4 linked regions of the Pelodiscus sinensis genome follow. The protein of the gene in region 3 purifies or fractionates together with the protein of the main gene of each other region. This does not show direct contact. Links are inferred from orthologs where the notes say so. Each region holds a gene or a part of one and is shown on either strand. Other genes may lie near its edges.

What was found.
Region 1: the proteins of PPP2R2D (region 3) and ECSIT purify together in Homo sapiens (affinity purification with mass spectrometry; 3 studies listed by BioGRID and IntAct, counting the BioPlex papers as one, with this or other methods). This does not show direct contact. The link is inferred for Pelodiscus sinensis from reciprocal best matches to the Homo sapiens genes PPP2R2D and ECSIT.
Region 2: the proteins of PPP2R2D (region 3) and CDCA4 purify together in Homo sapiens (affinity purification with mass spectrometry; 3 studies listed by BioGRID and IntAct, counting the BioPlex papers as one, with this or other methods). This does not show direct contact. The link is inferred for Pelodiscus sinensis from reciprocal best matches to the Homo sapiens genes PPP2R2D and CDCA4.
Region 4: the proteins of PPP2R2D (region 3) and SERTAD4 purify together in Homo sapiens (affinity purification with mass spectrometry; 3 studies listed by BioGRID and IntAct, counting the BioPlex papers as one, with this or other methods). This does not show direct contact. The link is inferred for Pelodiscus sinensis from reciprocal best matches to the Homo sapiens genes PPP2R2D and SERTAD4.

The regions. Positions count from the first base shown.
Region 1 is NC_134729.1:12,699,233-12,706,422, forward strand, and holds the start of ECSIT (evolutionarily conserved signaling intermediate in Toll pathway, mitochondrial), read right to left. Parts: upstream 3,023-7,190; 5' UTR 2,918-3,022; intron 2,339-2,917; exon of another isoform or gene 2,218-2,338; intron 2,130-2,217; 5' UTR 2,016-2,129; coding exon 1,899-2,015; intron 1,344-1,898; coding exon 941-1,343; intron 56-940; coding exon 1-55.
Region 2 is NC_134714.1:17,435,377-17,442,482, forward strand, and holds the start of CDCA4 (cell division cycle-associated protein 4), read left to right. Parts: upstream 1-4,086; 5' UTR 4,087-4,219; intron 4,220-4,697; exon of another isoform or gene 4,698-4,859; intron 4,860-7,106. UniProt on the Homo sapiens protein: May participate in the regulation of cell proliferation through the E2F/RB pathway. May be involved in molecular regulation of hematopoietic stem cells and progenitor cell lineage commitment and differentiation.
Region 3 is NC_134718.1:47,487,867-47,495,357, forward strand, and holds the start of PPP2R2D (serine/threonine-protein phosphatase 2A 55 kDa regulatory subunit B delta isoform), read right to left. Parts: upstream 3,016-7,491; 5' UTR 2,851-3,015; coding exon 2,844-2,850; intron 2,514-2,843; coding exon 2,427-2,513; intron 1-2,426. UniProt on the Homo sapiens protein: Substrate-recognition subunit of protein phosphatase 2A (PP2A) that plays a key role in cell cycle by controlling mitosis entry and exit. Involved in chromosome clustering during late mitosis by mediating dephosphorylation of MKI67.
Region 4 is NC_134713.1:145,014,296-145,021,234, forward strand, and holds the start of SERTAD4 (SERTA domain-containing protein 4), read left to right. Parts: upstream 1-3,938; 5' UTR 3,939-4,761; intron 4,762-5,039; 5' UTR 5,040-5,052; coding exon 5,053-5,191; intron 5,192-6,695; coding exon 6,696-6,811; intron 6,812-6,939.

The sequences.
Region 1 (7,190 bases), on a different chromosome or scaffold from region 3:
TTCGCGCCAAAGATCTGGAGCAGCAGGAACTTCGTCTGGTTGTCGGGCATGATGCCTGCGTACGTTGGGAGGGAGACGAGGTGGAGATGGCACATTCACCCGCCCTCGCCACGGAGTAGGGATGCACACGGGCGACCCTCTCTCCCCTCCGTGCAAGGCTGCTGACGCCAAACCCGCGAGGGCTCAGGAGCTGGGAGTCAGCAGGTTCGCATCCGGCAGGGGGAGAGAGGAGGGCTGCTGGCAGGCTGGGAGCCAGCAGCCACCTTCCTCTCCCCTCCCCAGGCTGCCAATTCCCAGCCCAAATAGACCTGGGGGGAGCAACTGGGGGCAGATCCATGGGGCCCGGGGGGGAGGCCAGGGGGGCAGATCCATGGGGGAGCTGTGCCTTGCAGGGGGGAGTGATACAGGGGGTTCTGTAGGGATGGTGTCCCAGGGGGTGAGTGGGGGAACCAGATCCATGGGGTGGTCTGTGCCCCAGGAGGTGGACAGATCCATGTAGGGGGAGCCGGGGTGTGTGTCCCAGGAGCGGGTGTTGGGAGCAGCTGTTGGTTCAGGGAATAGAACCCTGGAAGGCTGACCCTCCCCCCCCCACACACACACACACACACACTAACCACTAGATCGTGCTCCCTCCCGGGGGTTGCTGGGTTGCCTGGGGGGAAGGAGAGGGGGGGCAGGAGAGACAGTGCTGTGGGGAGTGGGGAAGCCTCCCTCGTGGCCCCACCCCCTTTCCCCAAAATTGCCAACAGCCCCCACCCCCGGTTAACCAGTCAACTAAACAAGTGGGATTTTACCTCCCAGCCATAGAGGGACAAACATGCCCCGTGCCGACTCGTGGAGACAGCGGTAGAGCCAGTGAATGTGCCGTCTCCATCGCTCACCCGCCTCTGACTCCCAGCCCAGCCCAGTCGCCCACACTGCTGCCCATCCCCATCCCTACCATAGTTCTCCATTTGCTCCAAGACGTGGATCCCACATTCCTGCTGCCTCGGGTAGTGGTTGAACATCCGCTGGATAAAATTGCGGGGCACAAACACTTCCTTGGGGAACACGTCCAGGATCTTGTTGTAGACGTCGAGCTCCCGCTCCACCCCAAACTGCGGCATCTTCTGGAGGGCCGCGTAGATGAACTCGATGTGACCTCGCCGCCGGACGTCCCTCTGGCAGAAGAGTTCCACCGCGCGCGTGAAGGCGGCTTTGTTCCGCTCCCCCTTGCAAGCCCGATCAAACAGCTCCTCCAAGGGCACCAGGGAGCCGTCACGGGACTCTCCATCTTTCTCCTGGTCCCCCTTGACTGCGGGGGTGAACTTGGAATGGCTCCGCACAGGCACCGGCCAGAAGCGCTAGCAGAGAAGCGGAGGCAAACAAGGCCTGTAGCAGCTGTCGTTTTACCTGGGGCTTAGAGTCCTCTGGCTGGGGTCAGGCCTGAGATCGGCACCACGCTGGCTGCAGCACCGTCCCCTTGGCTCTCGGGCGCTGGATCCTGGGTTCCAGGCCGGCTGCAGCGACCGGTACCACTCGCCGGCTGCTTAGCAGCCCATGTACAGTGACCCTGGCTTCTCCTGTCCACTGCACCGATCCATGGTGATGTCACTTGTATGGACAGGTACCGCTGCCCCCCCTTCTCTGCTTCCCGCTTCCCCCTCCCGCCCCCTACCTCATTTTCGCTCCCCCAGCTGCAGTGGGCGCTCAGCCCTTCCCACGATCATTTCCCGCCAGCCTCTGGGCAGCAAGGTTGGGGCAACCCAACAACAAGGGGGCAGAGAGGTTTACAAAGCTGCCCGAGGCGTCCGCCTGAGCCAGATTGCTTTGGACTGGCAGCTGCTCAGGGCAGCGCCCATGCAGAACGCGTCTCCCCCGGCGCCCAGCACCCTGGCCTGCCGAGGGACGCCTGGTACCTGGGCACAGCTGCTTCCCTGCAGCCGCAGGAGATCCAGCCCCGGAGCGAGCTGCCGCAGGACACCTGGTCTGGCAGAGAGCTCCCGGGCCAGGAGCAGCTTCCGCACACAGTTCATGGTGGGGTGTTTGTCCCACTGACACGGGGCAGGGGCCAGCTAGGGTGGGGCCACCGCTGCAGCTGGGAGAGTCAGTGTCATGGGGAAGGGGCAGCCATGCTGGGCGGCCAGGGTCTGCTTGACACAGAGAGAGGTGATGTAGAGATTGAAGCAGCGCAAAGGGTCAGGAAATCGGGGGGGGGGGGGGGGGGGGGACTAACACCTGTTCAGGCTGTCCCCACTCATGGCCACCATAGGAGTCCACACACGCCGCTTCTGTCTCCCTCCCCTCCCCCCTTACCTAGCTTCCCATTTATCCCCCGTGGGGAGACCACCCATCCCCCCAACATCCCCATCCCTGCCCACGTTTACTGCCCAGGTGCCCCCCAGCACCACACAGGCATGTCCCAGCCCCTGAACCCTCCTCCCCACCCCACACATCCCCCCACGCCCGGGCCATGCCCCCAGCCCCTGAACCCTCCTCCCCGCCCCACACATCCCCCCATGCCCGGGCCATGCCCCCAGCCCCTGAACCCTCCTCCCCACCCCACACATCCCCCCATGCCCGGGCCATGCCCCCAGCCCCTGAACCCTCCTCCCCACCCCACACATCCCCCCATGCCCGGGCCATGCCCCCCGCCCCCCCAAACCTCCTCCCCGCCCCACACATCCCCCCACGCCCGGGCCATGCCCCCCGCCCCCCCAAACCTCCCCCCCACCCCACACATCCCCCCACGCCCGGGCCATGCCCCCCGCCCCCCCCAAACCTCCCCCCCGCCCCACACATCCCCCCACGCCCGGGCCATGCCCCCCGCCCCCCCCAAACCTCCCCCCCGCCCCACACATCCCCCCACGCCCGGGCCATGCCCCCCCCCGCTTGGTTCCCGTCCACGCGCGCCCCGTGTCCGACCCGGGCTCCTCACCGCGCCGCCGTCTCCGCGGCCCCCTCCAATCCCTGCCGGGTCAGGGGGCGGGGCCAAGCACACGTGGCGCTTCTAAACCCCGCCCCCTCCCAGGCTCCTCCCCCGTCCGATCAGCCACGCCCCGGGCTGGGATAGAGTCATGCACGTGGGTCCTACTCCCCCACCGCAGGGAGCCCGGACCCCTGGGTCCCCTCACTCCCAGCGGCGGGGGGAGCCCGGCCTCCGGCCTCCTGCTCCCGGCTCCCCCGCGGAGAGGAAACGCCATTTGCTTGTTCCCATCACACTAGACGGCGGGGCCACCAAGTGAAGTGAATGGGCAGCAGGTTGAAAACAAACCAAAGGAAGTTTTTCTTCACTCAGCGCACAGTCAACCTGTGGAACTCCTCGCCTGAGGACGTGAAGGCCAGGACTTTACCAGGGCTCACAATAGAGATGGGTAGGGGTGGTGTCCCTAGCCTCTGTTTGTCTGGAAATGGGTGACAGCGGAGGGGGATAATTCCCTGGTGTGATCCCTCCCTCTGGGGCACCTGGGATCCACACTGTGGGCAGACAGGACACTGGGCTCTGACCCAGTGTGACTGTTCTTATGCTGTGTTTAAACGTTGGTTTCCCAGGCTGGGGTGAGGATGAATCCGAGCCTGGGAGCTGCCTAGCCAGGGCCATTCAGCCTCAGATGTGCCTGGACTGGCAGGTTCCCTGAGTCACTCAGGTAGGGCCAGGTGCAAATCCTCTCTCCCCACCCCACTCCACCCCACCTCACCCTCCAGGCATCTCTCATCCAGACTCTGGGGGAGGGAGACCGACCTGCAGGGAGGTTTGACAGAACCCACAGCCAGGCACAAGACTCTGTTATTATTTAAGTTCCTTCACCTCCATCCCCCAGATCAGGCCCCATTGTGTCAGGTGCTGTATAGACAGTCCCTGCCCCCACAGTGATGATCACTGTGAAGTCCGATCATTTCACAGATGGGCAAACTGAGGCACAGACATTACTCAGGGATTCTATAGCAGAGCCCGGAACTGAGGTCAGTTCAGGATGCGGCCCTGCCTTTGCCCCCCCCCACCCCTCCGACCCTGGATTCCCCTCCCCCACAGAAGGGACAGGGGCAGGGTTTGGAGACTGCTGAGGAGGCCTCCAACTCCAGCTTCATTAACAACACAGAGGACCATCATGTTCCTGCTTGATTTCCCCCCCAGTCCTGTTCTCTCCTTCGGGGCTGCTTGGCTCCATCCTCCCTCCCTCCCCCAAGCTGAGGCCCCTGTTGCTGTGCTAAACACCTGCCCTGCCCCTGCCCAGAGCTGGCTGCATCTCAGCACTGGGTATCTCTGCACGAACAGCCGCTGGGTCCCACCCCCTGGGTGACTGTACCTCTGGGCTGCATGAGCGATCCCAGGATAAAGACTCCACCCCAGAAGGAGCTGGATTGTGCAATCCCTTTGTGCAGGGCTTTGTAAGGCCTCCATCAGCGAGGGACTACGGGGACGCTGCCTGGGCAACCGAGGGAAGCAGCGGCTCCCTCTTTAAAGCACTGCACGCGCATGGCCCGGAGATGTGTGTATTGTCCCCATTGTGCAGATGGAGAAACTGGGGCACAAGGAGGGGCTGGGGCCTGTTTGTGGTCGCACGAGGGGGCAGTGTGAGAATGGAAACCCAGGCGGTGCTGGCCCTAACCACTAGACCCCATGCCCCTCTCAGCGCCAAGAATAGACCCAGAAGTTTGCCTCACAACCACCTGCTTTAACCACAGAGCAGCTGCGAGTTCAGGGGACAGCCCCGGGGTCCCCCCATCCTGGAGCTAGACCCCAGGCACCCTGGTCCTTAGCCCCACCCCCACCCCTCTCGGTGTCTGGCTCCCAGCCCCCCCTCATCTAACTGCTACACCCCACTGCCCTCCCCAGACAGTGCGAGCCCGCGGGGAGCGGACCCGCCCCTCACCTTCGAACCTGCCACCTGGCCGGCTCCCGCGGCGGGGGCGTGGCTAGCCCCAGAAGGGGCGTGTCCTGGGCCGGGATTGGTGGAGGCGGGGGGCGCTGGCCAGCCCCTCTGTCGGAGCCAGCAGCTGGGCGTGGGGCGGCTCTGGGCTGGGATGTGGCAGCTCCGCGGAACCGCCGCCTGGGTGGCCGCGGGTGCTCCGGGGTTCCGAGCAGCCGGCGCCCCTCGGCCGGGGGCAGCAGCGTCCCGGGTGAGTGGATCGTGCGAGCCTGGGGGTGGAGATCCCTGGGCGGGCTGTGACTTGGGGGGGACACGGAGCCGGGGGGGCTGTGACCTGGGGGAAGCAATTCGGGGCAGATCCATGGGGCCCGTGCCCGGGGGGGCAAGTGGGGGAGAGTCCGAGGGGGGCAGATCCATGGGGGAGCTGTGACTTGAGGGGGACACGGAGCCGGGGGGGCTGTGACCTGGGGGAAGCATTTCGGGGCAGATCCATGGGGCCCGTGCCCGGGGGGGCAAGTGGGGGAGAGTCCGAGGGGGGCAGATCCATGGGGAAGCTGTGTCTTGCGGGGGGGGGGGGGGGAGTGATTGACGGGTTCAATAGGAGCAGTGCCCCAGGGCGTGAGTGGAGGAACCAGATCCTTGGGGTGGTCTGTGCCCCAGGAGGTGGAGTTGGGGGGGGCAGATCCATGTAGAGGGAGCCAGGGGGGTGGGGGCTGTGCCCCAGGAGTGGGGGCTGGGAGCAGCTGTTGGTTCAGGGAATAGAACCCTGGAAAGCTGACCCCCTCACAACACTAACCACTAGATCCTGCTCCCTTCAGGGGTTGCTGGCTTGCCTGGGGGGAAGGAGATGGGGGCAGGACTGGCCCCACCCCCTTTCCCCAAAATTGTCATGCTGCATTGGGGAGACTGGGGCAAGACCCCATGAAATCAGGGCTCCTTTCCCATGGGGCTGCAGCATGCGCCCGGCAGACCCCACGGCGGCAGGGGGCTGCACCCGGCTGGCTGTTGAGCCCAGGCAGGGTTGGGCTGGGACAGCGGCTGCGAGTTTTGCCACTTTGTCAGTTGCCCACTTTGCTTCCTGGCCTGCCCAAATGCCAATCATTAACCCGGCGGCGGGGCGGGGCGGGCGCAGCGAGGAGAAGGTGGCAGGAGCTGGATTATTTAAGCCACATGCTCCACAGCGCTGGGGGTTTGAAACCTTGAATGGCTGAATGGGAGCATCTCCCCCACCCCCGCCTGTGCCCCGGGGCCACCCCGAAATCCCTTCCCTGCGCCCTGTGGTGCCCTCCTGTAACCCGCACTCCCACCCCCGGAGCTGGGATAGGGCCCTGGCGTCCGGCCCCCCGCTTAGGCCGATCGTGGCATTAGCCTATTTCCCCTCCCCCATTCATTCCAGATTTTGAAGTCAGCCACGTGACAGCCTGTGTGAGCCCCCCCCCCCCCCAGCCTAGCGTGAACCCAGAGATCTGGTGCTGGCAGCTGCACCCCGCAGGGCCTGGCCCAAGGGGCAGCAGCCTTTGTGACCCTGCTGTCCTGCAGCACCCTGGCCTGGCTCCGGCCCACAGCCGCTTTGTTCTCCAGCCTTGGCCGCTTGGCCTTGGCAGCGCAAGCAGGGGGCAATTTAACTGGAGAGCCTGTTCCTGTCGCCTCGCCCAGCCACGCGGTGCCTGCCCGCAGGCGCCTCGGTGGAGAAGGGACCTGCCCCAGCCCCTGCCCACCGAAGCGGGACCTGGAAAACCCAGCGCCCCCCACCCAGTGCTCTGCAAAACCTCAGGTAGCCACAGCCCCCTCCTAGCCTCCACTGCAGCACCGCCACTGGCTGGGCACCCCACCAATGCAACTGTTCCTCGCCGACTGGGCCATAGGCAGTCAGGCCTAGGGGTTGGAGCCACAGATCAGTGGCAGGCTCAGGCCTGGAGCAGGGATAATGGCAGCATCGGGGAGGGCTGCTGGGCTCAGAGCATGGCCCAGGATGCCAGGCGCTGACCATTTATTAGGTGCATTAGGGGCACTGGCAGGGCTGGGGGCAGGGCCAGGGCCAGGACCACCAGCACAGAACAAAGATGCCGTTCCTGCCCCAAAGACCTTCCAGGCCAGCCAATGCTGAGCCTAACCCCCAACCCCCAACCCTTCTCCCTCCCCTACCCCTAATGCTTAACCCCCAACCCCCAACCCTAACCCTTCCCTCTCCCCTAACGCCTTACCTCAACCCCTAACCCCCAACCCCTTCCCCCTCCCCTAACCCTAATGCCTTACCCCCAACCCTCTAACCCCCAACCCTTCTCCCTCCCCTACCCCTAATGCCTAACCCCCAACCCCCAAACCTACCCCTAACCCTTC
Region 2 (7,106 bases), on a different chromosome or scaffold from region 3:
ACATATAAAACAATCCTTGAGTTTCCTTTATATTTTTCCCCTAAAAATATCAAGTCTTGTCAGTCCTTGGCTAGAGGACTGCCATGGGAGTTTCCTCAGACCTTATCTGAAGAGCTAGAAGGTTGAATCTTTCAGAGTTTTTCTCTCTGGTCTTATATCAGTTTGGGTGTGTCTAGACTACATGCCTCTGGTGACAGAGGCATGTAGATTAGGCTACTTGGCATAGGAAAATGAAGCAGCTACTTAAATAATCGCTGCTTCATTTAAATTAAAATGGCTGCCATGATATGCTGATCAGCTGTTTGGCGGCACAGCGCGGTAGTCTGGATGCTCCGCAGTTGACATCAAAGGCATTTGTTGACCGCCCCGTTATGCCTTGTGGGATGAGGTTTACCGGGGCGGTTGACGAATGCCTTTGATGTTGACCGTGGAGCGTCCAGTCTACCTTGCTGTGCCGCCAAACAGCTGATGGGCACAGCGCGGCAGCCATTTTAATTTAAACGAAGCGGTGATTATTTAAATCGCCGCTACATTTTTCTATGCCGGGTAGCCTAATCTACATGCCTCTGTCGTCAGAGGCATGTAGTCTAGATATACCCTTTGCCATACTGGAGATACATCTTCTGGTCTTTGATTTAGCAGGTCTAGTAAGGAACAGCTAAATCAAATGCTAAGGTCACCCCTGGTAGGTGCGGGTACTCATTGATTCAAGAGAAGTAAAGGAAGCTAATGGGAGCATTTGCTCCTGTTGACCTGCTGTGGAGACAGCACCAAGCTTGTTTATGTAGCTTGAATTGTGTAAGCCAACCTTCCAGATCCTAGAATAGACCTGGCCTCAGAGTTTTAAACAGTAAAACACCTTCCTTGTTCAGTCTCTTGTTATATGAGAAACTAACAATGTCTCTTATTTTGCTGGAGAGCTTTTTGAAAGTTTGAAGATGTTGATCTAATATTTCTAACTTAAAAGAAGATAATTTTAAGGGAGAAAAATGTATATTGTCTTTATATGTATATGTATATGTATATGTTTATGCTCTTTGTTATCACTTTACACTTTACTTTTATTGTTTAGATCCTGCAAAGAAACACACCTACTGAACCCAGTAACAGAACTCTATGCTAGCACAAGGATAGTCCTTTCAGGCCTTACTGACGGATAAGGGCCCACATTATTTGCAAGTAGGCCAGAAGGAATTGGTGTGTCTGTCTGAATATGACAATTTTTCCTCTGATATCAATTTCTTTTCTTTTAGCATTTTGACTGGGAATTCTACACCATGCTGTGGTCAGAACAGTGCAGGTTAGAGCCAAGTATAAAAAAGACATTAACATCTGTAGCCTACATTGTTTCAGACTTCTGCCTAATTGATAATGGCATGCACAGAGTACAACCTTGTTTTGAACATTCCCTGCACCTAATCTCCAAGTTCTATCTTATTTCTTGCTCTTCCTACAGTCTGTGCTCCTCCAGCTCTCTTTTAGGATCTTAATTTTCTGTCCTACATTTTCCTCCCCACCCTTCCTTCACACATCCTCTTTCTAAGAGCTCAGAGCCAGAAGCAGCAAAGCAGCTGCTGCAGTTCACCCCCTTTCAGAAGTAGCCAGGAACTAGACCCGACATGCCCTTCCTTTCTGCTCAGTTGAGAGCCAACCAGCAGGTAGAGAGCTGGGGAAATACAGCAGCTAAGCATTAGGAACAAAGTGTTTGTAGGGGACAACATCAAGCCTCAAAGCCGTCCCATACATAGGATGGTTCAGGGTGTCTGCCCCAGACCCCAAAGTTTTTTTTTTGGGGGGGGGGCCCTCAACGGCTACCTCAACCATCCGATGGACAGGGCCCAGGGTATTACCTGGGGGCCTGCCATGCGGCAGCAGAAGGGGTCACCCCCTTCCCACTCACGGCAGCAGTGGGAGCAGAAGCAACCTAGCAACCTGCTCCATTCCACCCTGCTGCCCTATCCCAGACTGCTGCACTTGGCAGCAGGAACAGAATGCCTCGGCCCCAGGGCACTTCCTACTGCCACAGTGAAGCTAAGTGTAGTGGGCTGGGAGAGGGCACTGGGGTAGAGCAAAGTAGGCTGCAGGGTTGCTCCACCTCCCACTACCATGGTAAATGCAGGCTTCCCAGTAATCCCTGGCTCGCATTGCTCAGAGGAGGGGGCTCCTTCCTGGAGCTGCACAGAGCCAAGGCAGGCAGAGAGCTTGCCTTTGACCCACTGCACCACCAATCATACTTTTAACAATCTAGTCAGTGGGCCCAAGGTATCAGTTGCATGTTTACGTGATCACATCCTTGTATCAGAGGCAGCAGCATGGGGGGAGAATGGAAAGGAGTGGCTCTTTGGTTGCTGGTAATCTACAAGGAGCCAGCTTAAAATCAGCCTTCCTACGTGTATTGACTCCCACCTGTGCTGCAACCTCTCAATCAGAGGCGGCGGGGGGGGGGGGGGGGGGGGGGAGGGGGGGGAAGAAAGAGAGAGAGGTAGCTTCCCAGAAGCCTGTGCTCACAGGAAGCTTGCTTAAAATCTGGCTCCCCACCCTCCACGCTTCTGGGGAAGGGGCTGTGTGTAACAGTACAGGTTAACTGATAAAACCAAGATCATTAGTTAACTGTTCACAGGGGAGGGGAACTTTTTTTGGTCAGGGGGCCACACACGACAAAAGCAAAATAAACAAAAACCCCTCACTGACACAGCCCCAAATGAGGAGAGAGACATTCCCCACCTTTCCATTGCACACCAGAGCCTAGGGAGGCCCAGCCTAGTAGATTTTGTGTGCTTCCAGCCCTGCAATGGGACGGCAGGGGGACTGAAGAGCCAGCACAGGTTTCCCAATACTAGGGGGAAGGGAACTGAGCAGTGGGGGCTGCATCGGGGCCTGAGGTTCCCCACATCTGCCTTATACTATCATATCCCTATTTTTGACTAGGCATTCCAGCTGACAACCAGACACCTGGCAACCCTATGCTAGAAGCTAAAACTGGAGGGCTACATCTACACTGCAGGCTTCTTTCACAAGAACAGCCGTTCTTGTGCGAAAACTAGCGGAGCGTCTACACTGCACGCACATTCTTGCGCAAGTAAATTTACAGTAAAGCATCAGAACAGAGGGCTTCTTGTGCAAGAGTTACTCTTCTCCCCACAAAGAATAAGCCCTCTTGCGCAAGAAGGCAGTACAGATGAGCAATAGGGTTTTCTTGTGCAAGAAACCCCTATGGCTAAAATGGCCATCAGAGCTTTCTTGGGTAAGAGAACATCCACAAAACGCTCTTGGTGCAAAAGCACATCACTGCGGATGTGCTCTTGCGGCAGACTTTTGCAAAAGAGTTCTGGGGCAAGACGCCTGCAGTGTAGAAGGATCACTCAATAATTGCCCTGGTCTATTCATTCCCTCTGAAGCATTTAGCAACAGCTACTGCCAGAACAGGAAACTGAGCAGGCTGAGCCATAGTCTGACCCCCCTAAGGCTGTGGGGATGGTCCCTTGGGGTTCTGCCTGCAGGCAGCAGAGGTGTTGCTGTTAAGGGAAAAGCCAAGCATGTGCCATGCACTAGATTTCAAGCTGGGAGCTGAGGGCACATGGTGCCCAGCCATGATGTGCAGGAGGAGCCCATGCAGCAGTAGGGCAGGGTCCTGGGTAAGGGGGGAGGGGCTCCTTTGCCACCACGGGGCAGCAGGGAGGAGAGAGCCCGGGCTGCTCTCGGGCAGGCCCCACTCGTGCTGGCTTTGGAGCCAGTGTGGCCAGGATCCTGGTCACGTCAATAGGCAGAGGCAGGGGGCCCGCCTAGCCCATTGGCAGCTATTTGAACGTTAAACTCCACCTCGCTCTTTTCCTCAGCCAATGACAGCTAAGGGGCGGGTATGGGCTCTATGGTAACCCCTCAACCAGTCGTACGTTGGAGGGGGGTGGGGTGGGGCTGAGCACCATGGTAACCCGTCATCCAATGGAAGGGTGGATGCCGTGTGGGTGGTGCTTTACGGTCAGGAGACTGCCAATGACGACCAAGATTTCGCTGTGGGCGTGGCTACATGGTGGAAGCATCGCCCAATGGCAGGCCGGGTAGGGAGGGGGCAAACGACCGTTTCTTTGTGGGCTTTGACAATAAGATGGCGGGCGGGGAGGAGGCGGGGCTGGCGGGGGTGCTTGGTCCCGCCCCTTCTCTCAGGCGCGGAGCAGTCGGTGAGGCGGGAGCCGGGCGCGGGTCGGGAGGCGCCGAGGAGGTGAGTGGGGTCGGGCCGAAGCGCTCCGCGGTCCCGGGATTAGCTGCCCCCCCCTTCCCCCGGGGATCGTCTCTTAGTCCGCGGCAGCGAAACAGGGGCACCGGTCTGGAAGCGGCTGGGCGGGGAAGAGCCCGCGGTGGGGAGCGGATTCAAAATGGCGGCGGATCCCCCTCCCCGGGGTCCCAGAGCAGAGAGGGGCGACGAGCAGCAGCTGCCGCCGCCGCCCAGGGTCTCCTGGGAGCGGGCTAGGCCGCCTCTCGGGGGGCGCCTCCTGCAGCCTGAGCTCGCTGTTCCCTTTCGCGCCCCCTCCCCGCTTCCCGCCCAGCGCTCGCTGCCCCTCCCGGCGTGCGGCCCTCCCCCAGTGCCCCCTGGCCCGCAACCCCCCACGCGCCCGCCGCCCCCCAGCGCCTGAACCCCGCCGGCCGCAACTCCTCCCGTACGCTCCCCCTCCCCGTCGTCTGCCACCGCCGCCACGTACCGTGTGTGCTCCTGGGAGAGACTCCTGCCAGCCCTAGTCCTGCCTCGGAGGGGAGGGGTCGCTGCCCTGCCCCTGTGGGGGATAGTTGTAATCGGGGGGGCTGACCCCCCCCCCACCTACGCACCTCTGCGCGTTTCCTGCTCCATCACCACGCTGGCACCTTTCCTCTGTCCACTGCATCGTCTCTGTATCTTGTCCCCTTCCTCACTGCCCTGTACTCTCCTGCCCCCGCCCTGTATTGATGGGGGTGACCCCCTGGCGCTGTTGCCACCCTGGTGGTAAGGGCTGCTTCCCCCCCCCCCCCCCCCCAAACCCAGGCTCTGCTCTGCTATTGTATTTCAGAAATGTTGTCTGGTGTGCGCTGCCATTTATAGTTTTGCAAAATAGGTACCTAAAATTCCGTGGCAAGGCTTCTACAGCAAATTTGAAGATCTGTGCCCCATTCAAGTAATTGTAAATTAAATGTGCTCGTCAAACTACTTATTTTTCTATTGAATTCAATCTGTTCTTCCAGCTTTCAGATGCCCATGTGCTGCAATTTTTTGTATTGGCGCCTCTGAATTGTAGTAGCTAAAGGAGATTAACTACCAAATCAAGGGGCTTTTGGCACACAGGAAAACGGAACAGTTTGGGCTTTGGCACTCATGTAGAGTGCTCACGAAAGGATGAAATTGTGCTTCCCCATTTTAGATGAGGTTAATGTTTACTTGAAATTGTTGGGGGCAGGGGACTTCAACTTTCTAGCTTCTAAACAGACAGCAACTTGACCTCTCCTCGTTTGTCACTGTCCAACAGCAGTGGACCAAGTACACTTCTTGAATTGCTCTATTTTGGTGATCAGCAGAGAAACAAGATTTACAATTATGAACCCCGATCTACACTACACAGGGCAACATAAGGCAGTTTATGTCAATCTAACTATTTAAGTGCAGCCTTGGTCCCACCAATACAAATGTACACCACCGCTTTGACCTCCATGAGAGTTGCAAAGCTTATGTCAGTGTAGGGAGGGTGACATGTAGTCTTGTCACTCTCACCCCTAGGTCTTCATTCCAAACTGGGCTGCCACCTAAGCTCCTGCTGGGTTTCTTGCTTCTCTGCCCTGCCCTGCCCTGCCCTCTCCCCCCAGAGTTCTAGCTGCTTGGTCTGTGCAGCAAGCCTGGCTGCACAGACTGCTCCTGGCTTCCTACAGGACGCTTGACTCCTCACCAGGAGCAAAGCAGCCAACTGGACTCTAGGTTCGGATTTCTCTGCCAGAGATGAAGTCCCAGGTAGCTCTCTCCTCACCCCACCCACATCACCAGCTGGGAATTGGGGAGGCAAGAAGTCCAGGGGCAGCTGGGTACCCAGTAGGGGAGCTCTGTGGAGTCTCTTTAGTCAGTGGGAGTGCTCTTGGTGAGGACACTTACCACTGACAGGAGGCTAGTGTGGTCACTCTGGGGGTTGTAGGTTGATTTAAGTTTGTAGTGTAGATATGTCCATACACTTCAGAGTTAACACTCTTTTGCTATGAATGCCTGTTCGTAGCTATGGTTTGTGTGCAGATGCAGGAAAAACAGCAAGATCTTTTTAATTTTTTTTTTTTTTTTTAAAAGCAAGAGGTTAAAAACTCAGGTTTTTTTAATTGCAATTTGTGCCCCCAAACCCTAATTTTATGTCAGTGGGCAAATCTATAGTAGGCTTTGCTACCCTATAACTATGAAAAATAGGACTCTGCTTAATAAGAGGATACAAAGAGAACCTATTGGTTCTCAGGAGCAAAAATAATTGTTCCTGGGAATGACCTAAAATTACATGCAACAGGTCAAGTTTATCATTGCTTTGCATTGGCTAACTATTTTTCCCTGTGAGTATTAGAGATGTTAAGTGGCAGTTAATTAAGTTATTCCCCTGACTACTGGATTGGTCAATTGGGGGGGAGGGGAGTGCTCGCTACTGCCTCTGTGGCTCTGTAGTTTAAATGTAAATTGCTCCCGGGGGGCAGTATGAGCCGGGACCAAGCAGTCCCAACTTGTGCCAGCTCCAGGACCACTGCAGTTCTGCATCTTCAATGTAGTAAGAGCCTGCCGCAGAGCCACAGCAGGATGACATGAACTGGGGTGGCCCTGGGACAGCTGGGGTTCCCCCCAGCACTGGGTCCTACTTCCTTCCCTCCCCTCCCTCTGATACAGAGGCAGCAAAGGTGGGGGAACGTGAGTAGTAGTGACTCAACTACCTGATAAATCTAAATTTATCAGGTAGTCGACTACTCGAGTAGTCGCTTTCATCTTTAGTATGTATTACTGAAGTTGCAGTTTGACTAGGCTGAAACCGTCCATCTCTGCAGTATCACTTTGTCCTTTCCTATGTACCGTAAAACTCCAATTGTCTGGTAAACAGTGGTCTGGCACTCCTGATAGTCCGGCACCA
Region 3 (7,491 bases):
GAATACTAATGAAATGCCCCTCATCTGAAGTCACAAATGATTTCATGACACTGTTCTATTTAATTTTAGTAAAATAAAATTGTTTTATTGTTTTAGAAATAATGCTTTCAGCTTATTCAAATTTTACTGACAAGACAACATTTTATTAACTATTTGATTACATTTTAAATTTTAGCCAAAAGACTGAGAAAGAAAGCTAAGAGCCAAAATATCACACTGGTAAACTTTTACAAAATTAAGCAAAAAGCACAGTTGAAGGAATGGGGCTGAACACAGCCTGGATCTTACTTCTCATGCCAATAAATAGGCCAGCTATAGACAAGGGTGATTCACTCATATTATACTGCAGCAAATATTGCCATCATCCTCTGTGGAATTCACCATCAAAGACCAATTTTAGAATGGACATGATGTGTTAAACAGGAGACCTCCTGGTGGATTGTTCAAAAATAAGCGGAATTAGCATATTACCTAGTAACCCTGGCTGTACCCTTGCTAATGGATGTACTGTCTACTTTCAGATTGCACAGGCCAGAATTACATGAGCCTTACAATACTAGAGGCCATTATTTGGGAACACTCTGCCACCATAAGCCAAGATCTCTGCCAGATTTAATGCAGTTCATGATACTAAAGTGAATGAGACCATTACAGGTGCTTCTGTTTTCACTTAGGCAGAACTCTTGTTGATTTAATAGGTACTAAAAATCACACCCAGAGGTGGAAAGTACATTGCTAGAGTTTTCTAAGTTATAGTGATATGGTTTTTCCTATTACATACTGACTACGTGAAGGAATGGAGCTTAAGTCTTTCCAAGTTGCCAATACCTTCTGGCTCTGATAACACACATTTCTTTCACATTGAATTCTGATGTTACAAAATCACTGAATGAGGTAGTTAAACTTACTGGCTATTTAGAAAGGGAAAAGCATGTGATTATAAACACATGCTCTCTACTTTTTAAATAGCAGGAGAGAATATAAACAACAAATATGCTGGTAATCAACAGTGACTGGAACAATTTTATCATAATAAGTATTTTGCCAAAATTGACTTGTTTCTTAAAATATAAGAAGGGATGGCACTTTAAACCTTATCAGTGTAAAAACTTAAGAAACAGAGACTATTAAATAAAAATACCAGAAAGCTCAAAACTTTAGAATGTGTTACAAGAATAGAAAAATCAGGAAATGCATACTCCCATCTCTATTCTGAATATTATCTGCTCCAAAAATCCAAAGCATTATAGACTACTAGAACTGGAAGGGACCGCGAGAAGTCATCAAAACCTCACAGCAAGACCATCTACAATCATCTCTGATAGATGTCTATCTAACCTGCTCTTAAATATCTCCAACGACGGAGATTTCACAACCTCCCTAGGCAACTGAGTCTCTTTCCATGTCAGGCATTTGGGGTCCAATGCTGTAACTCCAAAACAAAAGTAACATGAAAACTAAAACTTCTTAATATTTTTGCAGTGGAAAATAATATGAATGAAACAGACTAGGTACAAGCAAAATGCATTCAAAAGTCATTCCAGAACCAAAAACAACACAAATAAGTAGCTAAAGTTTGAGGATTTTTTTTAAAAAAAATCATGTAGTAGAAACTCAAGTACACGAGGAAAAGGTATGCACCCTCATGACATCCTCTTTACAAGCATATATTTCAATTGGAATAATCTGAACATGTCAGACTTTAAAAAAAAACCTAAGACTGTAACTCCTTGAAACTCATATAGCACACTCTACATGTCCATCTTGCCTATTTAGAAGGGATTACTTTTTAAAACAAAAATGTTTATCATCATAACACTCATCCCCAAATGCTCTGCAAGTCTAACATTTCAATGGCACTTAAAAAGGTACCTATTTGCCACACAAACCTCCTTCTTTATAGCTTTCAAATATCAGCAGATAAGAATGAAACCCTTCACTGCCACAAAGAAATTTTAAACACTGCTTCTGAAATTAATCCCCAATGAAGGAGCCTCCCTCTGTGCGTGAGACAGAAGCCTGACACGTCTGACTACTTTTTTCTCCCCCATTTTATCACTGTCGATATCCCATCTCGCTGGTGACCATAAATGATGATGAGGAGGAAGACACCTTCTCTGACATGCTATCTGGTGAGAGCAAGCCGTTGTGAAAAGCACAGGCAGCAGCTTAGTCATCGCACCCCTCCTCCACCCTCACACACACCGCATCCTCCGGGATTCACACCGGGCAAGAGAATGGCAGCACCGGGAGAATTGTAGCGACTCTCTGTGCGAAGCGGACACTTTAGACAAGAATAGGTGGTGTCCGGGGTGGATTAAAGCGAACGAGGGACAGGGAACCACTGACACCCCCGGCTAGGGACCCCTATGACACGGCGATTCCTGCACAACCGAGGGCCGCAGCGCCCGATCCCCCGCGCTTACCTTCCGCCACGTCCTCGTCGATAGCCCCCTTCACCTGGGAGAAGCACCACTGGAAGTCGTTACCGCCGCCGCCGCCACCTGCCACCCCTGCGGAGACAGCGAGCGATGAGGGCGAGCGGCGAAGGCAGCCCGACCCGGCCGAGGGCACCTAACTCTCAGGAGGCTTGGCCTGACCCATAACCCACCCGGCCATGTACCTCCGCACTCGGCCCCAAACCCGGCCAGGCCCGCCTCCCCATGGCCCCGCGGAGCCCGCTCGGCCCCCTGTGACCTAGATCCGCGCTGCCCGGCTAGGCCCGACGCGCTGCCCTCCCGGGTTCCGCAGGCACAGCGCCTCCGCCCGGCCCCTGCCCTAGGCCGGCTCCAGGCCCAGGCCTCCCCCGCTGACGGGCGCGGCGCGGCGTGCGTCTCTCTCACCTGCCATGTCGCGCACTGTGTGGGGGGCGGGGGCCTGCGGGGCCCACGAGGGGGAGGCGCCGACCGGGACCAGGTCAGAGCCGCCGCCGCCGCACACAGCTGCAGCCGCTGGAGGTTTTGGGGTTTCAAAATGGCGCCCATTGCCGGTCGGCCTGATCCGGTGACGTCATCCGTCTGCCTCCCTCTGGGAGGGGGAGCTCGGAGCGCCGGGCGGGGAAGGAAGCGGGCGGGGCCGGAGCTACACGGGGGGGACGAGGGTAGCTGAAGGGGCGTGGCGGGACTTGGCGGGGTCAGGCTGCAGCTGGGCTGATCGGATGTCCCGGTTTTGTAGGGACAGGCCTGATATTCGGGGCTTTCTCTTATGTAGGCGCCTATTGCCCCCGTCCAGATTGGTCACACTTGTGTCCGGTCGCCCTAGCGCAGCCGGAGGGGCTTGCTGGGCCGGGCCAGGCGGAGGAGGCTGCCACCCAGGGACACAGCTGGGAAGGTCGGCGGAACAGATGGTTCGCTGGGGCGACTGGGAGCCTCCGTGAGGCGGGGGTGTGGGAGACAGGTATCCCCCAGCGCTTGATTTATGCCACTCCGAGGCTGAGCTGGGTTTGTCAGTAATGAAAGTAAAAATATTGCTGGAGCTCCTGTGTTGCTTTCATCACAAACTAAGCCCCCGTAGGACCAGGTGAGGGGAAAACACTCCGTTCAGGCTGAGATTACAAGTATGGGGACGTTGTAAATCAAAGCAAGAGAGGAGCAGATGGGTTGGAAAGGCTGATGTGTTGTCCTTACTGTGTTTAAACACAACACTAGCTAACCCTGTTTCTGTCTGTTTGGCTCATGTTGGATAAACTGAAATGGAGGCCAAATTCAGAGGCAAAAAAAAAGTGAGGGAGACCCCAATTTGGTAGGAAAAGGATTAGTGCTGAGAAGGCTAGGCAAACATCATCTCCATTCAGAATCAGCATGGACAAGATTGAGCCATGGTATTGCACAACAGTTGCTCAACATTACCCTGAGAAATCAATCAGGAAAGAGTGAGCAGATCTGTACTAGTGTTTCCATTCCTCATACCAGCTTCTGAAGTCATTTCAGCAAAACCATACTCAGCAATATCAAAGGCCACTAAAAGGTGTAACACTGTTCCTAGAATCAGGGCTGGAATCAGGAGGTCATGGAGTCCAGCCCCCTGCCCAAAGCAGGACCAACCCTAACTAAATCATCCCAGCCAGGGCTTTTTCAAGCGAGGATTTAAAAATCTCTAGGTAAGGAGATTCCACCACCTCCCTAGGTAACCCATTATAGTGCTTCACAACCCTCCTAGTAAAATAATGTTTCCTAATATCCAACCTAGACCTCCCCAAATGTAACTTGATACAATTGCTCCTTGTTCTGTCATCTGTGACTACTGAGTATAGCCTCTCTCCGTCCTACTTCCCCTATTAGTTCCTCGCTGTTTGTGAGTAGCAGTTCCTTCAACACTTGTACCAGGAAGTTATCCCCAACATTTTCCAAAAACTTCCTGGATTGTCTGTATACTGCTCTATTGGTCTCCCAACAGATGTCACGGTCTACGTATACACTGCAGGGGTTTTGCACAAGAAGTCTTTTGTGGAAAAATTGCACAAAAATTTCTTGTGCAAAAGCACATCTACACCTCAAAAGTGTGTCACTTTTGCAATTCACTTTTGCACAAGAGAGCATCCACACTGCATGGATGCTCTTGCGTAAGAAAGATCTGATGTCCATTCACAGAATGGCCATCAGAGCACCTGTGCTTTTTTGGATAGGCTCCTTTTGTGCAAGAAACCCTTGTAGAGCGTCCACACTTGCCTTTTTGCGCAATAGCTGTAGCGCAAAAAGGAGTTATGCCTCATAAGAGGAGGCTTACCTTCACCAGAAAAAGCCCTCTGTTCTGCCATTTTACAGACTTGTGCAAAAACGCATTCGAGGTGTGGACGCTCTGCAGGTTTTTGTGCAAAAATGGCCATTTTTGTTCAAAAACCCTGCAGTGTAGACGTAGCCAGGATGATTCAAGTCCCCCGTGAGAACCAGGGCCTATGATTCTTCCTAGAATTAAACTTGTTTTGATTTTTTCCCCTTCATTCTCCTCTTGAAAGAGGTTCCATTGTCATCTTGAGATTAGCCATATCAATATTATAGAACATATGATAACCTTACTGCGCATTGGGATGGTTTGTTCCTGCACATTCAGTAAGGCATTTTTAAAATACAGTCCGCTCTCCTGGATTCCTTTCCCCTTTATGTTAGCATCCCAGGAGACCCTACCCATCAGTTTCCTGAGAGAGTCAAAGTCTGCATTTCTGAAGTCCAGGGTATGTATTTTGCTGCTCTCCTTTCTTCTTTGGTCAGGATCCTGAAATCAACACAAATAGTACTTCCATGGGAAAATGCCCTGAATCTTTCCTTTTTAAAAGGAAAATGATGTCAGTGTATATTAGAATCTCATAACATCTTTTAATCCTCAATTAATTGAATCTAGCATACCGCTGACATTGCATGTTACTCATTAATGCCAAATGACTTTTCTGTTCTAAAAAGTTTCTTTTTTAAACTACAGCCTGGAATGATACAACATGAAATAATAATATTGGCCCCTATCCATCCAGGTGCAACCATTGGCTCCACATGAGTGCAGGGGTCCACCTAGGCATATTATCCTGTGCCTGTAGGATTGAGTCTACCACCCTGCATTCCCTAGGTAAATGCCCTAGTCCCTAAGCCACTCCAGAAACCATCACACCACCCTACCTTCAGGGTGACCCTTATCAGGCCTTCCTAATGTGGGAGCCAGCTCCATCTCTGAGGCAGCAGGTGTTGGCTATCTAAAGGCCCAAATCTCCATTCTGTTCTGACAAAATCATGTCGATATTATAAATGTAGGACAAATGCACTATTGTGATTTCAATTCATATTTATATTAACATGTTTTCAAACAAGTATAAAATCAACAAATCCTTCTTAGGAGCAGGATGTGAATGTCTGCATTATAGGCTACATTTTATTTCCAGATGTCTTCCTGGAGGGTCATGGCACTTAGATCCAGCTGGCCGGGAGCTGGTCCCGGCCATTGGCGGCCCCCGTGGCATGGTGCTTAATTCTGGCCGGCCGGGGGCTGGGCCCAGCAGTTGGTGGCCCCCACAGTGTGGGGGTCGCAGATCAAAAAAGGTTGCATACCACTGGTTTAGACTGAGCTTTCGCTAGCTGGTTTTTATTCAGATTCCAGCTCTCAAGGGATGTTACATCCGGGGTGAATGACAGGGAGCTATAAAACTAGGCATACTGAGAACACCACAGCCCATATGGTTGATGATCTAGAGATACTTCATATGTTGAACAAAAAAGGTGTTAGGATTGAGCCTGGGGCCTGTACTGCTGAGAGCGATTGCCCCAAACCATTATGTGGGATTTTTCAGAACAGAGTGAGTTTCTGTTCACCTATGCCATGTCTTGTAATGATTTAAGCAACACCCTGTGATCAGCAATATCAAAGGCCACTGAAATGTCTGGAAATGTTTGGCAGTGCATCTTTCCTCTCTCCCATGTCCAAGGGAGATTCTTAACCACCCAAGTTAGTATCATGTCCTATCAAAAGTCCAATTGGATGATATGTGGTACATAGGTATTAATTTAAGGCAGGCATGTCCAAAGTCCGGCTAGCGGGCCAATTGCGGCCCGTGTTCTGGTTTAATACGGCCCCACAGGTAATTTGGCAATATCTATCTTTTATGGCCCCCAACGAATCCATATGTATTGAGATGAATACATTGTAAAATCTCAGTTAATGTCAGTTGGTCTAAATCAGTTATAAATATATTTGGACACAACATGTATACTTGGTGTTATGTTCCTGTTCATATTTTTTGAACTTAAAAGTTGACAGACAACCTTTATTACCAATAATATGTAATGTACTTTACAATGTTCCTGACATATATTTCAGCTTCCTGGATTTTTTTTTTCATCTGGCCTTTTTTTCATATGAAAGGCAGAGTGATTTAACACCTGTTTAGATTTGTCATCCATGTGACGAAATGAAAAGTATGCCGTTTGCAATAAACTTTGCATAAAATAGTTAATTTGCATTTAATTTTAATGGTTCAAAGAATGTCAGGCAAAATGGTCGGCCCTCAAGCATGTTCACTTCATCAAATCTGGCCCTCTTTGAAAAAAGTTTGGACACCCCTGATTTAAGGGAAGAACCATGGCTAAGAAATGTATAATTTAAATTACCTTTGCCCTCAAGATTCATGACCCTTGTAATTTGAAAAGAAAAGAAAAGAAAAGAAAAGAAAAGAAAAGAAAAGAAAAGAAAAGAAAAGAAAAGAAAAGAAAAGAAAACAGTACTGTGTATTTTTCTGGATTTTATTACACATTAAACAAACTGAAAATTAAACTTCCAGCAAAAAACTAATTACTACACCTTTTACTGAACTAAGTATGAACTAAACACAGTTATCAAATCAATGTTACAATGGGAATTGAATTAATAAGCCCATGAGTTAACAATGATATAGAATGGAGTCAAAATCAAATCATTCGATGAGCACAGTCAAGCTCAGTTCATGAAGTTTAATACACTGCATGATTCTTTTAGATACTAACCATGGAAACCTAAAAAAGCATAACATCAACA
Region 4 (6,939 bases), on a different chromosome or scaffold from region 3:
CTGCTGCTGTTGGCACATGCAGATGTATGCCCAGTAGCTTGTATCTACATTTCCATATGAAGCAATGGAAAATCACATGACTGCAAGGCCCTGCAAGATTTTGTCCTCCCCCGACATAACTAGTCTCGTTTCCTCCTTCTACCCTTCTTCCCCTTGCACTTTTCTTCCACTTTACTTTTTACCTCAATCTGCTTCATACCTTCTGGCTGAAAGAGCTTCCTTTCTGTCTGGATATATCTACAGTACAGAGTAGTCCACACTTGCAATTGTGTTCTTCCACAAGAAAATCGAAAGAACAGAGGGGTTTTCCTGGCATTGGTAATTCTCATTCTATAAGGAAGAAGTCTTTTTGCGAAGGAGCTCTTTTGGAAAAAGGCGTGTGTGGACGGGGAAGAGGGTGATCTTTTGGAAGAAGATGAAAGAGGAAAAAGCACAGATGCCCTGGTGGCTATTCCAGCCATAGCAATCACAGCTTACATGCCAGAACATCCATTCAAACTGGACACTCTTTTGAAAAAGCAGATCGCTTTTTCGATGCACTTTTGCAGTGTGAAAGCTCTCTTTAGGAAAAAGATGTTTCAGAAAATCTCGTCTAGAAAAGGTTCTTCTGAAAGAAGCCTGCAGTCTAGACGTAGCCATCTGTGACCTACCTTCTCTCTCTTTTCAAACCAACCTCCTCAGGAAACTCCTGCTTGCTTCTCTTTAGAACAGCCCCGCCTTTCCCTACACCTCATCTGTGGGCAAGTACTTTGTCTTAGGCCGTGGGTGTTTGTTCGTGTGTCCCACCTCAAGCTGGGCAGGGCCGGGACCAGCTCTGCCCCGCGATTTGCAAAGAGAGGGCACCTTAGCTGGGCAGCTCTATGAGCATTTTATGAGCAACCTTTCCTTCCGCTCCCACGTGTCCCTCTCCCCGCGCAAGCCCACAGCTCCTCCTGGGAGCCGAGCGGTGACCCAGCAGCGCCTGGGACTTTCTGCCGCTGTGGGCTACAGAGCCGTTCTCCCTTCGCTTCGGGCTCTCTGAAGGCTTCCTTCCTCTGGCTGCCGCTTCCAGGCTGGGTCCGCGGCGGCCTGCGGCCCCACCCGGAGCGTCTCGGCCAGCGCGCCGCGTCCCCTGCCGGCCTGGAGCCTCGCCCAGCGCTGTTCCTGCAGCTACCGCCACTGTGGGCTTGGGCTCGCCGCCCCCGTCCCTCCACCGCCCTGCCCCAAGTGCCAGCGGCTTTTCGGCCTGCGGCCCGCTCCGGCCTGGCTTTCCCTGCGGGCCAGCTTCCCGCCGAAGCCTCCTTTGCACGGGCGCGGCCACGCCCCGTCAGACCCGCAGGGCCCAGCCCTGCCCAGAAACCGCCCGTGCGGCTGACAGCTCCGCCGGAGACAGGGGCTCGCTTGCGCTCAGCGGCCAGACTCGTGCACACCCCTGCGCGCCTGGCTGCGCTTCTCCCCTTCCTCCCCCCGCGTGGCGTGGCAGGGGCCTTCCTGGACCGCAAGCTCGGCTGGGCCGGGGCTGTGGGTGCCGGGGATTGGACTGAGCCCAAGGCGTGGTGCAGCCAGACCATGGGGTCCAGTTTACTTCTTACCTCCCTGGCTCGAGGGCTGTTCAGCCCCGCTGGGGGGCGCAAGGCGCGGCAGTGCTTAGAAAGTCCGGCCGGTGCCCTGCGGCCTGGCCCCGAACCACACGGCGCGTAGAGAGACCTGAGCTGTGTAGGCAGGGAGTAGCCACGGTAAGTCGGTTTCTGTCCCAGTGTGACCCCCGCAGCAATGCTGTAACAAGCGTTTGACAATAGCTAATGTCTCAGAGGCATTCCCCGAGTGCACAGAGCTCTTTCCCTGGCATTGCACCAAGCTTCTTACAAAGGGAGTGGCATCCCCGGAGTTTTCCGATTGGCACCAGAGAGCCGCTGCAGGAATAGCGAGTGCACATCCTAGCAGATGGCAGCAAGCAGTAATGTGGAGTGGCCTTACCATATACAACTGCGTGCGGAGAACGGCTGACGTTTAACCTCCAGGCCGCTGTAGGTGCCTCAGGGTGTCCTACTGCAGGCATTTGGCTGACAACGTGGGAAGGATGTGGCAGTGTACGGATTAAGGATTGGAGTCAGTAAAAATGCTACGGAACCCCCACAAGGCTACACAATGGATTGGTTTGGCGGTTTTTTTTAATTGTAGCCCTAAATGTCAACCTTTTGCTGCCGATTCGTGTAGTGACTGTAATGTACACTCAAGTATACATAGTGTGTCCTTTTCTAGCCGGTTGTGTTGGAAACTCACTATTCTCATGATTTTCTAAAAAGGCTCAATGACCTAAGTGCCTATTGACTGGAATCCATAGTGCATATCACAAAGTAGTGTTAATGGATTGCCAAGGTGACTGGGAGACTAGGGGAACTGGGTTCTAGTTCTGGTTGTGCCACTGGTTCGCTAAAGGCCTTTGTCCGAATTCTGTCGTCCTTACTCAGGGTGAATGGTACTTGCCCTAGCCTGCAGGCAGTCACGATGAAGTCCCTATTTGTGCAGTCAGGTATTACTTACCTTGAGTTACTAGGGAAGCAGGATGCTTTAAGACATTATTTTTCAAATATGCCCTTTGATTTGGAGTCTCCCTATAGCCCTCTGGAGCCAGCTATTCAGAGGTTCTGAGTACCGGCAACTTTCATTTAAGACAAGTGGAGTTGGGAGAAGTAAGGGCAGTTCGACCTCTGTGCATGTAAAGTAGTTCCTCTGCTGCAAAACTGGAGATGGTGACACTTTTGCAAAGTATTTTGAGATCAGCAGATTAAATGCTCTGTGCTATGTATTATTATTTATTATTATTATTATTATTATTTATGCTTTGTTTTTATCCTGTTATGAAATGTTACAGAGAACACATTTTGTCCATGGACAGTAGCAATTTATAAAAGTTAAAAGCAATCAAACTATTGATTGTGTATGTTCTAAATAGCAGGCACAGTTAATTTACTTTAAAAACGGCAACGTTGTATTTTTCAAGATGAATCTGTTTCTACTCTGAGAACTGGGCAGAAAGCATCCCTGTCTGTTCTTTTCGTGTGTGCGGTCTGTGTATTTGTGCTCAAATACAGAAAGCACTGTTTGAAATGAAATAGTTTTTTAAAAAGCAGGGTTGAAAACTTATATTCCACATTTCATTTTAATAAAAACATCTTATAAATCAGCATCTCTCGTGGATACCTTTTTTGACAGAAGTTATTACATGCAGAGAAATCATGACCTGCTAGACTATCCGTTGTTTTTTAAGTTTTTCCAGTTACCGACTAACACGGCTACCCCTCTGAAGCTTTCTCCAAAGCAGTACAGGGTCTCTTCCAAGCCTCTTTTCTCTAAGGACAAATGCGAAGTCTTGACATAGTGCCAGCATCAGGAAACTGATGTCTAACTGTGAGTGACTGTTCAGATTAATGAGTAGATCAGTTCATGAGTGCTTGCCAATGACAGCATAATCTTTTTCGGTAGCATATATATTTGATTTTTAGCTGATTCTCTGTGCTGGGTGAGACTGACTTTTTCTTAGTCGGGATCAACTTGTCCATTTGGGGGCACTCGAATGGTAAATAAATAAGCTACAGTAACTAATATAATACAATCTGCGAGGCTAATAGGTCGTGGTCAGTAATTCCCTGTGCCATTGGTTCTTTCTCCAGTAAAAGAAAGACGTAATTAATATATTATCATTGAAAGTATGAACTAAAAATACATTGTGTGTTTCCCAGTGTCTAGGAGAATTCCAAGCCACATCATAATTTGGTTTCCCGGGGCGAAGTTGAAATTGCACCTGTTAGCTGGATTCTGTAGTCTTTTCTCAGCCAAAAACTCGCACATACTTTAGTTGAAAACCCATTTGACTCCCACTGTTCAGTTTGAAGTGAACGTGAATTTTTGCGTGAGTAAGGTCTACAGGATTGAGCCATCAGAGTAGCTAGCAAGTCGATACTTGTCCGTTTCAGAAGCAAGTGGCACTCCTGTGCATTTTCACTGTACCTGACAGATGTTAATGATTTGTTTTTCATAACTGCTCTCTTCTACAGCCTCGCATATCTTTCTCCTGTCGGGCAGTGTTTAATTGGTTGCACTTTCAATCGCTGGGACCACAGACACCCCTCTCTTCACCCTGTCCCGGTTCCCTACTGCCCTCCCCTTGGATCCCTGTCTTCCTGCAGTAGCACTGAGCTGCGAGGCGCAGGAGGAGGAAACGAACTCCAGCTTTCTTGGCGAGGGGCGGGGCGGGGCCAGCTCTGTCTCGGTGCATTGTTCTGTGCTCCAGTGCCAAGATGCGGGGCCGCGGGGGGGAGTGAGCGGTGGCCCCTCTCCGAAAGTTTGCGCGCTCTCTCCCTCGCTTCGCTTTGGCAATGGGAGGCAGATCGCTGCCTGGCCCTGGCCCTGGCCCTGGCCCTGGAGTCCCCGCTCCTGCTTAATATTCTGCCTGCTCCGGCGATGTTGTGCTTGGCTCCTGGGGGACTGCAACTCCCGGCTTGAAACGGCAGCCAATTTTCTGTCTTACTCTCCCAGTGTTTTGACTGGAGGCAGATCCAGTTCCGTCCGATCGGGGCTAGTGGAAACAACTGCCTGAGCCTCTCGGTGTGTGTCGCTGGGGCTCCGGGAGAAAGCCGCCCCCCGGCCCCGCGCGATGTGGCTGCCGCGGCCGGGCTCCTAGGAACAAGCCCGGGAAGCGACTGAGCGGATTTGACCCCGACGCGCTGCGAGCATCGCTCGGCTCGGGTCTGCCTGGCGGTTCTTCACGAGAAGAGATCGGTGCGTGGCTGGGGGGCCCTGCTGCGAGTGAGCTGGTCACTCAGCGGAGCGCGGGGCGTCCCCGCGGAGAGCACCAGGCACCTGGGTGCAGGCAGGCGGGGCGGGTACGGGGAACGACAAAGCCCGGGATCCAGCCAGGGAGAGCGGGAGCCAGAGGCGCGCTGAGCCGGCCGGGCAGGGGCGCTGGGGCCCGGCGCGAGAGACGCTGGGAAGCGGAGGAGGCAGCCGCCGGGCTCTGGTCCCACGGGCCTCTGACCCGCTGCGCCTTCTGCTTGCAGGGAGAGGGCAGCGATGACTCTGGTGCTGTCCATGCAGCGGTTCTGCGGGCCCGAGCTCGCGGAGTACCACACCCCGTGGGAGTCGCACTGTGGCAGCCAGGCCAGCCCCGCGGAGCCCAGCCGGGCCGCGCCGCAGGGGAACAGGACGCCAGGTAGGCACGGCAGCTGGGCTGGTGGCCGGGGGGAGGGAGGGGGCATTCCCCGACGCGCACGGTGAGCCGGGCAACATGAACGGCAGTATCGCGCCTCTGGGTGTATCCAAGGCACCAGAGCCCGGGGCCGCTCGAACATGCAGCTACTTTCATTCATCCAAGGGGGGAGGGAGTGCCTGTGTGTGTGTGTGTGTGTGTGTGTGTGTACAGATGGCAGTAATTTCAATTTCACCATCTATGGAAGCATAGGGATAGGTTGGAGACTGTGGCCCGGGGGAAAATGATTAAAGGTAATGTTTGAAGTGAAAATTCACACGGAGCATAGGTTTAGAGCAGTGGTTCTTAACCTTACTGCAGCCTGCAACCCTGTGGTTCTCAAAATATGTTCTCGCACCCCTTCTTAAAAATCGTTGAAGTAGGTCAGTTCTTTAAACCTAAGATATATCATAAAAATCTGGTATGTCTCACACCTCCAGAAAGGGCATCTCACACCCCCAGGGGGTGCATGCACCCCCAGTTAAGAACCACTGGTTTAGAGAAAAGGCTCTGTACATCTGATTCATGCTTGGACTCTCTAGAATTAAAAAAGACTTGCTTAGATAGTCACACCATATTATCCTACAGTCACTCTCCAAAGGGGTAAAAGTCACAACATTTTGGCTAGCTGTCATTTCTTTTCTACTGACTTTAAGGAATCCTGCTCATATTTGGTTATAATAACAAGAGATTTGTCATAAACACAATATATGTCTTGGGCTTTCTAGAGTCTTTCTTTAATGTGGAGTGGGAGGAGAAAGGAGTCCAAACATGGCCATCTTTCTTTACATAGTTGCAAAGATAAAATATTACAAAATTGTATTGTAACTATTCTGGGTGCCAATTAATAAAAATATTGAGTAATGATGGTTCTATAAAATGTATTTGTCCAAAGACATGTTATCTTTTCTTGTCATGAAAGGTAGTAACAAACTCTTACCTTTGGTGGAGTATATCTGATCTTTGCTTTCGTCAATTATATGTTTCCATGTACATTTCTGGTTTTACACTAAGACACAAAATGACCAACTTTTGAAACATTATTTTAAACTACTAAATCTTATTCCAGATATATGGAATATATTTAGCAATTGTAAAATAAAATTTCACCTGTAATTCATGGTCCCTGGAATTTGAACAGGATGCGCTGGTGAATGCCGCTACTTGTTGGACCTGTAAACTTGGGATGAAAATTTTATTAAAGAAAAATATACAGAGAATGTCTAAGTATGCCAGACACACAAATGTCTTACAGTGTCTATCACAAAGAGCTTTAATTGCTCGTGCTAGCCTATTGCATCACGAGCTATTTATTCGTATGGTAAAAAGTTTATTTTGATCACTGCAAATATATATAAACAAATGTGGTAGACTTATCTTGTAGTGAGAAGGGAAATTAAAAGTATTTTGTTTGGAGAACCTCAGGCAAACCACATGTCATTTGTCATATCTGATTTATTACCCACAGGATCACATTACAGGGGAATTTCAAATCCTATAACAACATCCAAGATCACATACTTTAAAAGGAAATATGTGGAAGAAGAGGATATTCATCCATCATTCAGCAGCTGTACACATAAAGTATGTTTTTAATAGATGGGTTTTTTTTACTGGGCATTTCAGATATTTAGTAACACTTGCTTGACTCATTTCCAGAAGTTGAAATACTCCACCCAGATGATGAGAATAGCCCAGCTGTTTGCATGGAA